Linked DNA regions of Macaca mulatta. The protein of the gene in region 2 interacts with the protein of the main gene of each other region in a pairwise test. Links are inferred from orthologs where the notes say so. Each region holds a gene or a part of one and is shown on either strand. Other genes may lie near its edges.

Evidence for each region. The genes of interacting proteins can lie anywhere in the genome.
Region 1: the proteins of EGFR (region 2) and RET interact in a protein complementation assay, tested with the Homo sapiens proteins (3 studies listed by BioGRID and IntAct, with this or other methods). The link is inferred for Macaca mulatta from reciprocal best matches to the Homo sapiens genes EGFR and RET.

Annotation. Positions count from the first base shown.
Region 1 is NC_133414.1:55,566,758-55,570,401, reverse strand, and holds part of RET (proto-oncogene tyrosine-protein kinase receptor Ret), read right to left. Parts: intron 2,916-3,644; coding exon 2,674-2,915; intron 1,458-2,673; coding exon 1,262-1,457; intron 1-1,261. UniProt on the Homo sapiens protein: Receptor tyrosine-protein kinase involved in numerous cellular mechanisms including cell proliferation, neuronal navigation, cell migration, and cell differentiation in response to glia cell line-derived growth family factors (GDNF, NRTN, ARTN, PSPN and GDF15).
Region 2 is NC_133408.1:73,468,100-73,472,372, forward strand, and holds the start of EGFR (epidermal growth factor receptor), read right to left. Parts: upstream 2,816-4,273; 5' UTR 2,555-2,815; coding exon 2,467-2,554; intron 2,328-2,466; exon of another isoform or gene 2,272-2,327; intron 1,916-2,271; exon of another isoform or gene 1,776-1,915; intron 1-1,775. UniProt on the Homo sapiens protein: Receptor tyrosine kinase binding ligands of the EGF family and activating several signaling cascades to convert extracellular cues into appropriate cellular responses.

The DNA.
Region 1 (3,644 bases), on a different chromosome or scaffold from region 2:
GGGCCAAACCAATGCATACCTTCCAAGTGTTGATTTATGTCCTTGGTTATAACTCCTGTCTCCCTAAAATGTATAAAAGCAAACTGTAACCCCACCACCTTGGACCTGGGGACCACTTACTCAAGGTTTCTTGGGTTTGTGTTTTCTCCAGGCTGTGGTCACTCATCCTGGCTCAGAATAAACCTCTTTAAAATGTTTTACAGAGTTTCGTTTTTTGGGGGTAACAGGGTGTGTGTATGTGTGTGTGTGTGTGTGTGTGTATGTGTGTGTGTGACATGGGGGCTTAAAGGTCTGCATTACCAAGGCCCTGGGAAGAACATGCTAGAGCCCTCCAAACAGCTTCCCCAGAGCATGGGAGAACTCCCCTCCACTGCAGGAGCCTCCAGCAGACCCAATGACCCTGCAGGCCAAGCCTTGGAAGTCATGCCGTCCGTGTACCTGCCGCGTGCTGCCGCTCTAGTTCTCATGCGGTGGAAACAATGATGGGAGGGGCACTCTGGCAGACAGGGTGTTCAGTGCCAGGGCAAGGAGGCTGTCTCCCTTCTGACAGGTGGGGCGTCCATAGGCTTGGTGAGGTGGGGAGGACTGAGGAATGAACAGGACCAGGCCAGGCAGAAAGGGGCGAAGGACCCATGGCCCGGGGTTCCCCCAGACACAGACCCCAAATGCAGGTGGTTTATTTGGAAGGCGATCCCAGGAGAAATCAGCAGGAGGTGGGGGAGGGAGGCAGGAAGCAAGGCCTCAGCTGAAAGGTGCCCTGCAAGCAGGTGAGCATGGTGGCACATGTCAGGAGTCAGGCAGGACAATGGGCTCAGAAGCCCTGACCTGGCTCAGGGCTGCTTCTGTATACCAGACTGTTTAGCAGAGAGCTGATAAGGCTGGAGCAATAATCCCTAAGCATTTGAGATACCTTAGGGGCAATGATGGAGTGCCAGGGGCGGGAGGAAAGCCTCAGGTGACATGTATGTTTGCAATCAGTGGTGAGCCCTGGCGAGGTTAGCATGGGGGTGTGGTAGGGCCCTGCCAGGGTCGGCCATGGTGCAGCTCAGGGAGAGAGGACCCATGGTGAAAGCCCTGCTGGTGGCTGGAGGGCAGGCCTGGCAGAGACACAGGAAGTGCTTCGAAGAGGGTGGAGGGGAAGTGGCTTGGGCCACTGAGGGCCATGACAGGTGTGCATGTGTGTGGGGTGCTGCTTGCCCATGAAGAACGAGCACTTCATTTCCTGGGGGCCCAGCCAGGCCATGCCACCAGCCCCTCTTACTATAGTCATGTACGGTCGCCCGCACGAAGCTGCCGTTGGCCTGGACTGAGGTCTCGTTGGGCCAGTGCTCCACCCGGAAGGTCTGCTGGGTCCAGGTGTCCCCGGGGAGCAGCGTGCTTGTGTACCGCCTCACCAGCTCCCCTGACGCAGGTACCACGTCTGCATCGAAGACACGCAGAGTGGCCACTACAGTGTCCTGCAGGATGCAGAGGGCGTTGGTCAGTGCAGGTGAGAGTGGCCCCTCAGACCCCCCAAAACCAGAGACCTCAGGATGCTGCACGTCCCACGCAGCCCACAGGTGGACCAGGTGTGCGTTGTCAGAGCCAGGTATGGGGACTGTCTGACCTAGATTCAAGTTCCCACGGGGTCACTGGCCAGCCTGGCCCAGTCACCTTCCTTGAGCCACTGACCCTCTGTGTAACAGGTGCAATGTAGACCTCTTATAGGGAGAATTACAGCTGATGCCCAGGCACCCTGCTGGCAGGTCCCATCAAGGTCCCTAGAGAGCAGAATGAGCACCTCCACTCTCCCCTGAGGAAGCTGGGCCCTACAGGGTGAAGGTCAGGTCAAGGTCACACAGGAACAGATAGCAGAGCCGAGATCCGAGGCCAGGTGTACATCAAAGCACTCTGCTCGAAGCATCCTCCTCCCCCAGGCTGGAGGGGGTTGTGAGGAAAGCCGCGGGGCACCTGGGATGGCTCTGCGCACCAGGCCTCTGCTGTCACCCCTAGGCGGCCCAGGGAGGCCCACACAGCCTTTACTCACAATGTGTACTTTCGGTCAGACCTCCTTTCCCTGCCAAACCTGCACGTGGTGTGCCCAGAGAAGCGGCACAAGGTAACGCACTACCTCAGTCCCCACGCCCACTCTCCCACGGCCCCGGCGGAGTGGGCCGGTTGCAGGAAGGCCTGAGGCTCAGCAGGTGGCGGTGGCGCTCCATCAGCGCGAACCGGAGAGGGGCGGGGCGGGGCCGGGCAGGCGGCGATCCGCCTTCCTGTCCCTTTCCAATCCCCGGCACCGCTCCTGGTCACTCAATGGCCCTCCCATTGGGGGCTGACTGCTGGTGGGAGGGAGTGCCCTCCCGGCAGATGCTCCCCGCCCGGGCAGCGCGCCGCGCCCGCCTGCAGCGGCACAAGTGTGCCCCAGTCGCGAGCCCTCGGGCCTCATCCTGGTCAGTCCCAGACTGGGCACCCAGGGTTCCCAGCCTCCCAAGGCAAGGCCCCGCTGGGTGCTGACAGGACTCCCCCTTCTCCTCCCCCTAGGACAGAGGGGGCCGACGGAGACGAAGGACAAATGAACGCGTGAATGGTCGGCCACATGATTGGGTGGCTACACGGACACTAAACTGACAGAGAAACGAACTGCGGCGGGAGACAGACACTGGGTAGACCACAGCACGCGCGAACAAGCACCTCCTTCCGCTTGAACTCCACCACGGCGCTGGCGGTGTCGACGCCCGCGGGGAATGTGGGCGCCGAGTCGTCCTCGTCGTACACGGTCACCGGGAAGGGCACCATTACCACCTCCTCGCGCGCGCCAGCGTGCACGGTGCACACGGCCACCAGCTCGTACTTCTCCCGCTGCTCGCGGTCCAGGGCCCAGCGCGTGCTCACCTCCAGGCTGTCCGGGGCGCAGCGGAAGGGCAGACCCTCACCTGCGCACCAAGCAGACAGGGGCCCCGCGTGATCGCCAGCCGGGACCGGGCCAGCCGCCTTTCTCGGGAAGGGGGCTCTGCGGTCAGAGCGGGGCGCACACCGCACGCCAGCCGAGGACCCAGGCCTCCCCTCCTCCGCTCCACAGGTGAGCGCAGCACTCCGAACACGAGTTTGCGCTTACGTCCTGCTGCAGCTGCGTCCTCACTCATGCTGGTGGGGAAGAGCGGGGACCAGCACCCTGAGCAACCGGTAGGGACTGGGACACCCCTCCGTCCACCCGGCCTCGATCGGAAGTGACCTTGTGTGGGGAAGGGTGGCTCCGGGTCAGATCAAGCTGCACTGCGGCCCTAGAGAGCCAGCTACTGGCCTTGGCTGCTTTTTTTTTTTTTTTTTTTTCTGACGGAGTCTCGTTCTGTTGCCCAGGCGGGAGTGCAGTGGCGCCATCTCGGCTCACGGCAATCTCTGCCTCCCGGGTTCAGGCGATTCTCCTGCCTCAGCCTCCCGAGTAGCTGGGACTACAGGCGTCCGCCACCACGCCCAGCTAATTTTTGTATTTTTAGTAGAGACGGGGTTTCACCATATTGGTGACCTTGGCTGCTTTTTAAAAAATGTTAGTTTTTTTTTTTCAATTATGTATATGTTCATTTTAGAGAACGTGAGAAATAAAGCCACGATTCTACCACTTGAAGACAAACACGGTGGACATCTGGGGTATGATGTGACATTAA
Region 2 (4,273 bases):
TCTTTGTACCTCAGTTTCCCCCATAGGAGGAGAGTGTACACCTCTTATGCTTAATGTGGGGATTAGGACGCATGAAACGGTGTCTGGCAGTCATTACGTCTAAGAGCAGCAAGTCCAGAAGTTAGCATGTCCCAGAACCAAACAAAACCCTTACTAAACAAAGTGCATCTTGAATAAAATCGACTGAATTTGATAGACACAGGTCTCAAACAAATTTCTGTTAAAAGAGCTCATCTCCTACTTTAATAATTTGCCCCTGAAAATTCAGTCTTTTATGTTACTGTAACAGAATAGCGCCTGTTCACCTACTCTCTCTGTCTTCAGGAGTTTCTGTTTTGAGTGAATACGGGATAAACAGGCAAATTAAGTGGTATTTATATTTTTCTCAGGAACAAATCTCCAATCACTAACAGTGGTGTTCAAGCAAGTAACATCAAAGAATGAGAACCCCACTGGAGGGAGAAAAGTGATGCTTTGGAGGTGCTCTGAGGGTTTAATTTAAAATAAAGAGAAGAGTCTCTTCAGCAGAGACAGGGCTGACACCTGACTAACAGGACCCGCAGTCAGCCCCCAAGCAGGCAGGAGGGGCCCTGCAAGCTCAGCAGAGAAGAAACCTTTCCACCAGTTCCTTCAATGAAAAGAGGAATCTTTTATTATTGGAACCACACCCCACCTTTTCCCTCTTTCCTATATTTGGCAACATTGTTAAAATTCCAGATGTCCTCAAAGAGCTCTTTGCATTGGCAAGTAATCTCTCCGGAGACTTTAACAATCCTTCTTCCGTCCGGTGATCCCCAAACCTGGCTCCCCAACAGATCACATGAAAAGCATTAAAAAAAAAATCCCATGTCCAGGTCTTGCCCCATGCCAATTAAATCAGAATGTCTGGGGGCGGGATTCAGACACTGGTTTTTGTTTTGATTTTTTTTTTTTTTAATCCCAGGTAATTCTAACGTGCAGCAAGGTCTGGGAACCACTGTTCTATGTCTTGCCCCTCCCCCAACGACCGCGCTGGGCACCAAACCCCAACTCCCCATGCCAGTGACATCAACAGCAAGTACGGGCCTGGCTCTTGGAACCCGCGCAGCTCAAGGTTGGAATTGTGCAATTAAACCTTCCGAGGCATGTTTCCCGTGTCAAGTGGGTTTATGGTCAGTAGTCACGAAGCCAGACTCGCTCATGTTCTGTCTGGACACTTGGCACACTTGAACCAGGGACATCAATCCGGTGTGTGTGTGTGTGTGTGTGTGTGTGTGTGTGTGTGTGTGTAAGACAGGTTTAATATTTTGGTTGGCTCAATGTCAAATTCTTCAGACAGCAAAAAGAAACATCCAAGAAAGAAACTCTCCGGGTTTTGAGGAGAAAACTTTGCTGTGAGCCCCATTTTGAAACACCGTGGTGCTGGCCAGGATGAGCTCTGCTTCCTGGGCTTCCGCACTAGAGGCCGCGATCCCCCCAGCAGTGGCCGGACAGCCGCGTCCCCCTCCACCGCGAAGCCCAGGCGCGACCGAAGGGCTGCAGGTGGGGCAGACCCGGACGTCCCCGCGAGGCGGCCACCGAACGAGAGCCCGGGCCTTTCTGCGCCGGCGCCCGGGAGGGAGCTCGGGTCCCCAGGAGGTGGGGGGCATACCTGGACCGGCAAGACGAGGGCGCGCCGGGTGAGGCGAGCGGCCGGGGTCTGCGCCCAAGGGGCGGGTCGGACCCCACCTGCCTTTTGCCAACGAGGAAGTTAACCGCCGCCAGCACCACCCCTTCCCAGGCGCCGCAGGTGGTGGCGGACTTCTCCCAGCTCCCAGGTTGAGGCTGCGACTCCACACCTGGGAACGAGGATCGCGGGGACCTGGAGAGGGGCCGGGGTCAGGCTGGCCGGCTCCGGCTTCAGTTTGAGACCTGCGCGGAGCGCGGAGGCAGGGAGGTTCGCTCAGGAAGCCGCCTGTCCCGCGGGGTCCGAAGGGAGGCTTTATTTTCGGGGTCCTTCCTCAGCTTCCCTAAACAGCGCAGCCTCGGCGGGTGGGCAGCGCCAGTCCCTCGGGTGCGCGCCGCGACCCCGCCGCGCCCTGGGAAGACAGCGCGGGGCGCACGTGCGGGACCCCGGCCCCAGGCACCCACCCGCACGGGGCTTTCGCCCACTGACGCCGATTCCGCGCAGCGGGGCGGGGAAAGTGAGGGTGGAAAGTTGGGAGCGGTTCGGGGCGCCGGAGGTCCAGGCGGCCGTTTCCCCGCCGGCCCGCAGCCCAGTGCCCCACGCGTCTCCTCCCCCGCCCGCCCCAGACTCTCCTGGCCCAAGAACGAAACGTCCCGTTCCTCCCGCGGTCCCGGCCGGCGGCGCAGCTGATCTCAAGGAAACAGGAAAGGACGGGCGGGGGCGCGGGCGCCGAGCCGGTGCGCCGGTGCGCGGCTGGGCTGGCTGCGGGGTCCGGGGCGCGATCCGGGGGCAGCGCGGGAGCCGGCGAGACACGCCCTTACCTTTCTTTTCCTCCAGAGCCCGACTCGCGGGGCAGAGCGCAGCCAGCAGCGCCAGGAGCGCGGCCCCGGCCGTCCCGGAGGGTCGCATAGCTGCTCCCCGAAGAGCAAGCTCCGGCTCTCCGGATCAATAGTGGACGGAGTCAGGCGGCCGTGCGCGGTGGTTGTGGCGTTAGCGGCGAGGCGGGGACTCGGGCGGACGCCGACGAGGTGGCCTGTCGTCCGGTCTGGGCGGCGGCGGCCGCCGGGGCTAGCTCGGGACTCCGGCCGCTTTGGCCGCGGCGGGCGCGCACACCGTGCCGGGGGCGGAGGCTGCTGCGGCCGCGCTGCGCCGGGGGCTGCCCGGACGTCTAGCTCGCGCGGGCCGGGGCGCGGGGAGGCAGGGCGGGAGGAGGAGGGACCAGGCGGCGGAGGAGGGATCGGGAGGAGCAGAGGAGGAGGAGAATGAGAGGAGGAGGGAGGAGAACCAGCCGCGGGGACCCAAGGCCAGCGGCCGCCGGAGGCGGTGGACAGCGGTGACCCCCGCGGGACCCGGTCTCCCGCGGGAAGGGGGTGGCGCGCGGGAGGGGAGCGGGTGCCCTGAGGAGTTAATTTCCGTGAGGGGCGTTCACAGCACTGCCCCTCTGGACTGGGTCCCCGCAGACTTGCAGGCCCAGCCTATGTCGAGGTCGAGCCAAATCTGTGCCAGGGTCCCCTTCCCCCTTTCCCTTCTTTTGTTTTACAGAACAAACTTCTACCAGCTTTAGACAGACTGGCCGAGCCCTAGAGCCAGCGTCGAATAATGGCACCGACGGGGAAACTGCTCCTTTATTCTGGTCCCCACCTCCCCTGCAGCACCCAGGGACCCTCGCGGGGATCAGAGGCTGGCCTGGCAGCTGAGGAGGTCGCTGTGCCCGCGCGGCAGGGGTGCCAGGCGTCCGAGGTGGTGCTCTAAAGTCCGAGGGTCCTTCAGATCCCGTGAAGCACCCTAGAAATCGTCTGAAATGAGAGCACCCAACTTTGGGCGCAGAGACAGGCCTCCTCAATGTTTACTGCAACCGGCCGTGGGTACTTTGAAGCCAATGTGTGAAGCACGTTACTTCGCAAAAGTGAGGCTCTTGGAATAAAGGCTTGACACAAACAGCTGTGGAGATGCTTTTAGAGAGGCTAAGTGTCCCACTGCACCGGTAGCTCCCGCAGGAGAAATGCCAGGGAAGTTCGCGAAAGTTTGGCCGAAAGAAACTGAGCTGCTTTAGGCTGCAGGAACTTGAGCTACATTCCTTTGGCAAGTCCACCCCATCCCCACTGTTGCTTCTCCTGCAGTAAGAATGTCCTCTAGGTCCATGTTACAGTCAGACCCCTCCTCTCTTCACGAGATTCACTAGGACCTTCAGGCCTGGTTCAACAACCCTGATCTCCCGGCTCTGTCAAAAATCATAATCCTGAAGTAAGTAGAGCTACAGATCTGCCCTTTGCTGTCTCTGAAGGGGAGCAACCTTGCATCTTTCCTCCGCATCCAGCGAAGTGTTTGTGCCTGGGTTTCACGCCCTGCAGCCTGAACGGTGGGTTTTTCACCACGGCAAGCGCAGACAGACACAAGGCTCCTCACCACCCGTACAACCTGGAACTTCCCTGTGAATTAGAAGAAGTAATTTGTTCCTTTGTTTTAGCGGATCAGTACAGCCACTGTGCGTTGAAGTCAGTCCCTGGATGCAGAGATGGTGAAGGCTCTGCAGGCACGTGTGTGCTTCCTGCACACCTGGGCTGAGAGCAGTCCCTATAGAAACACAGAGACAGAAAACAAAACTAGAGAAAGGCAAATGCGAAGCAC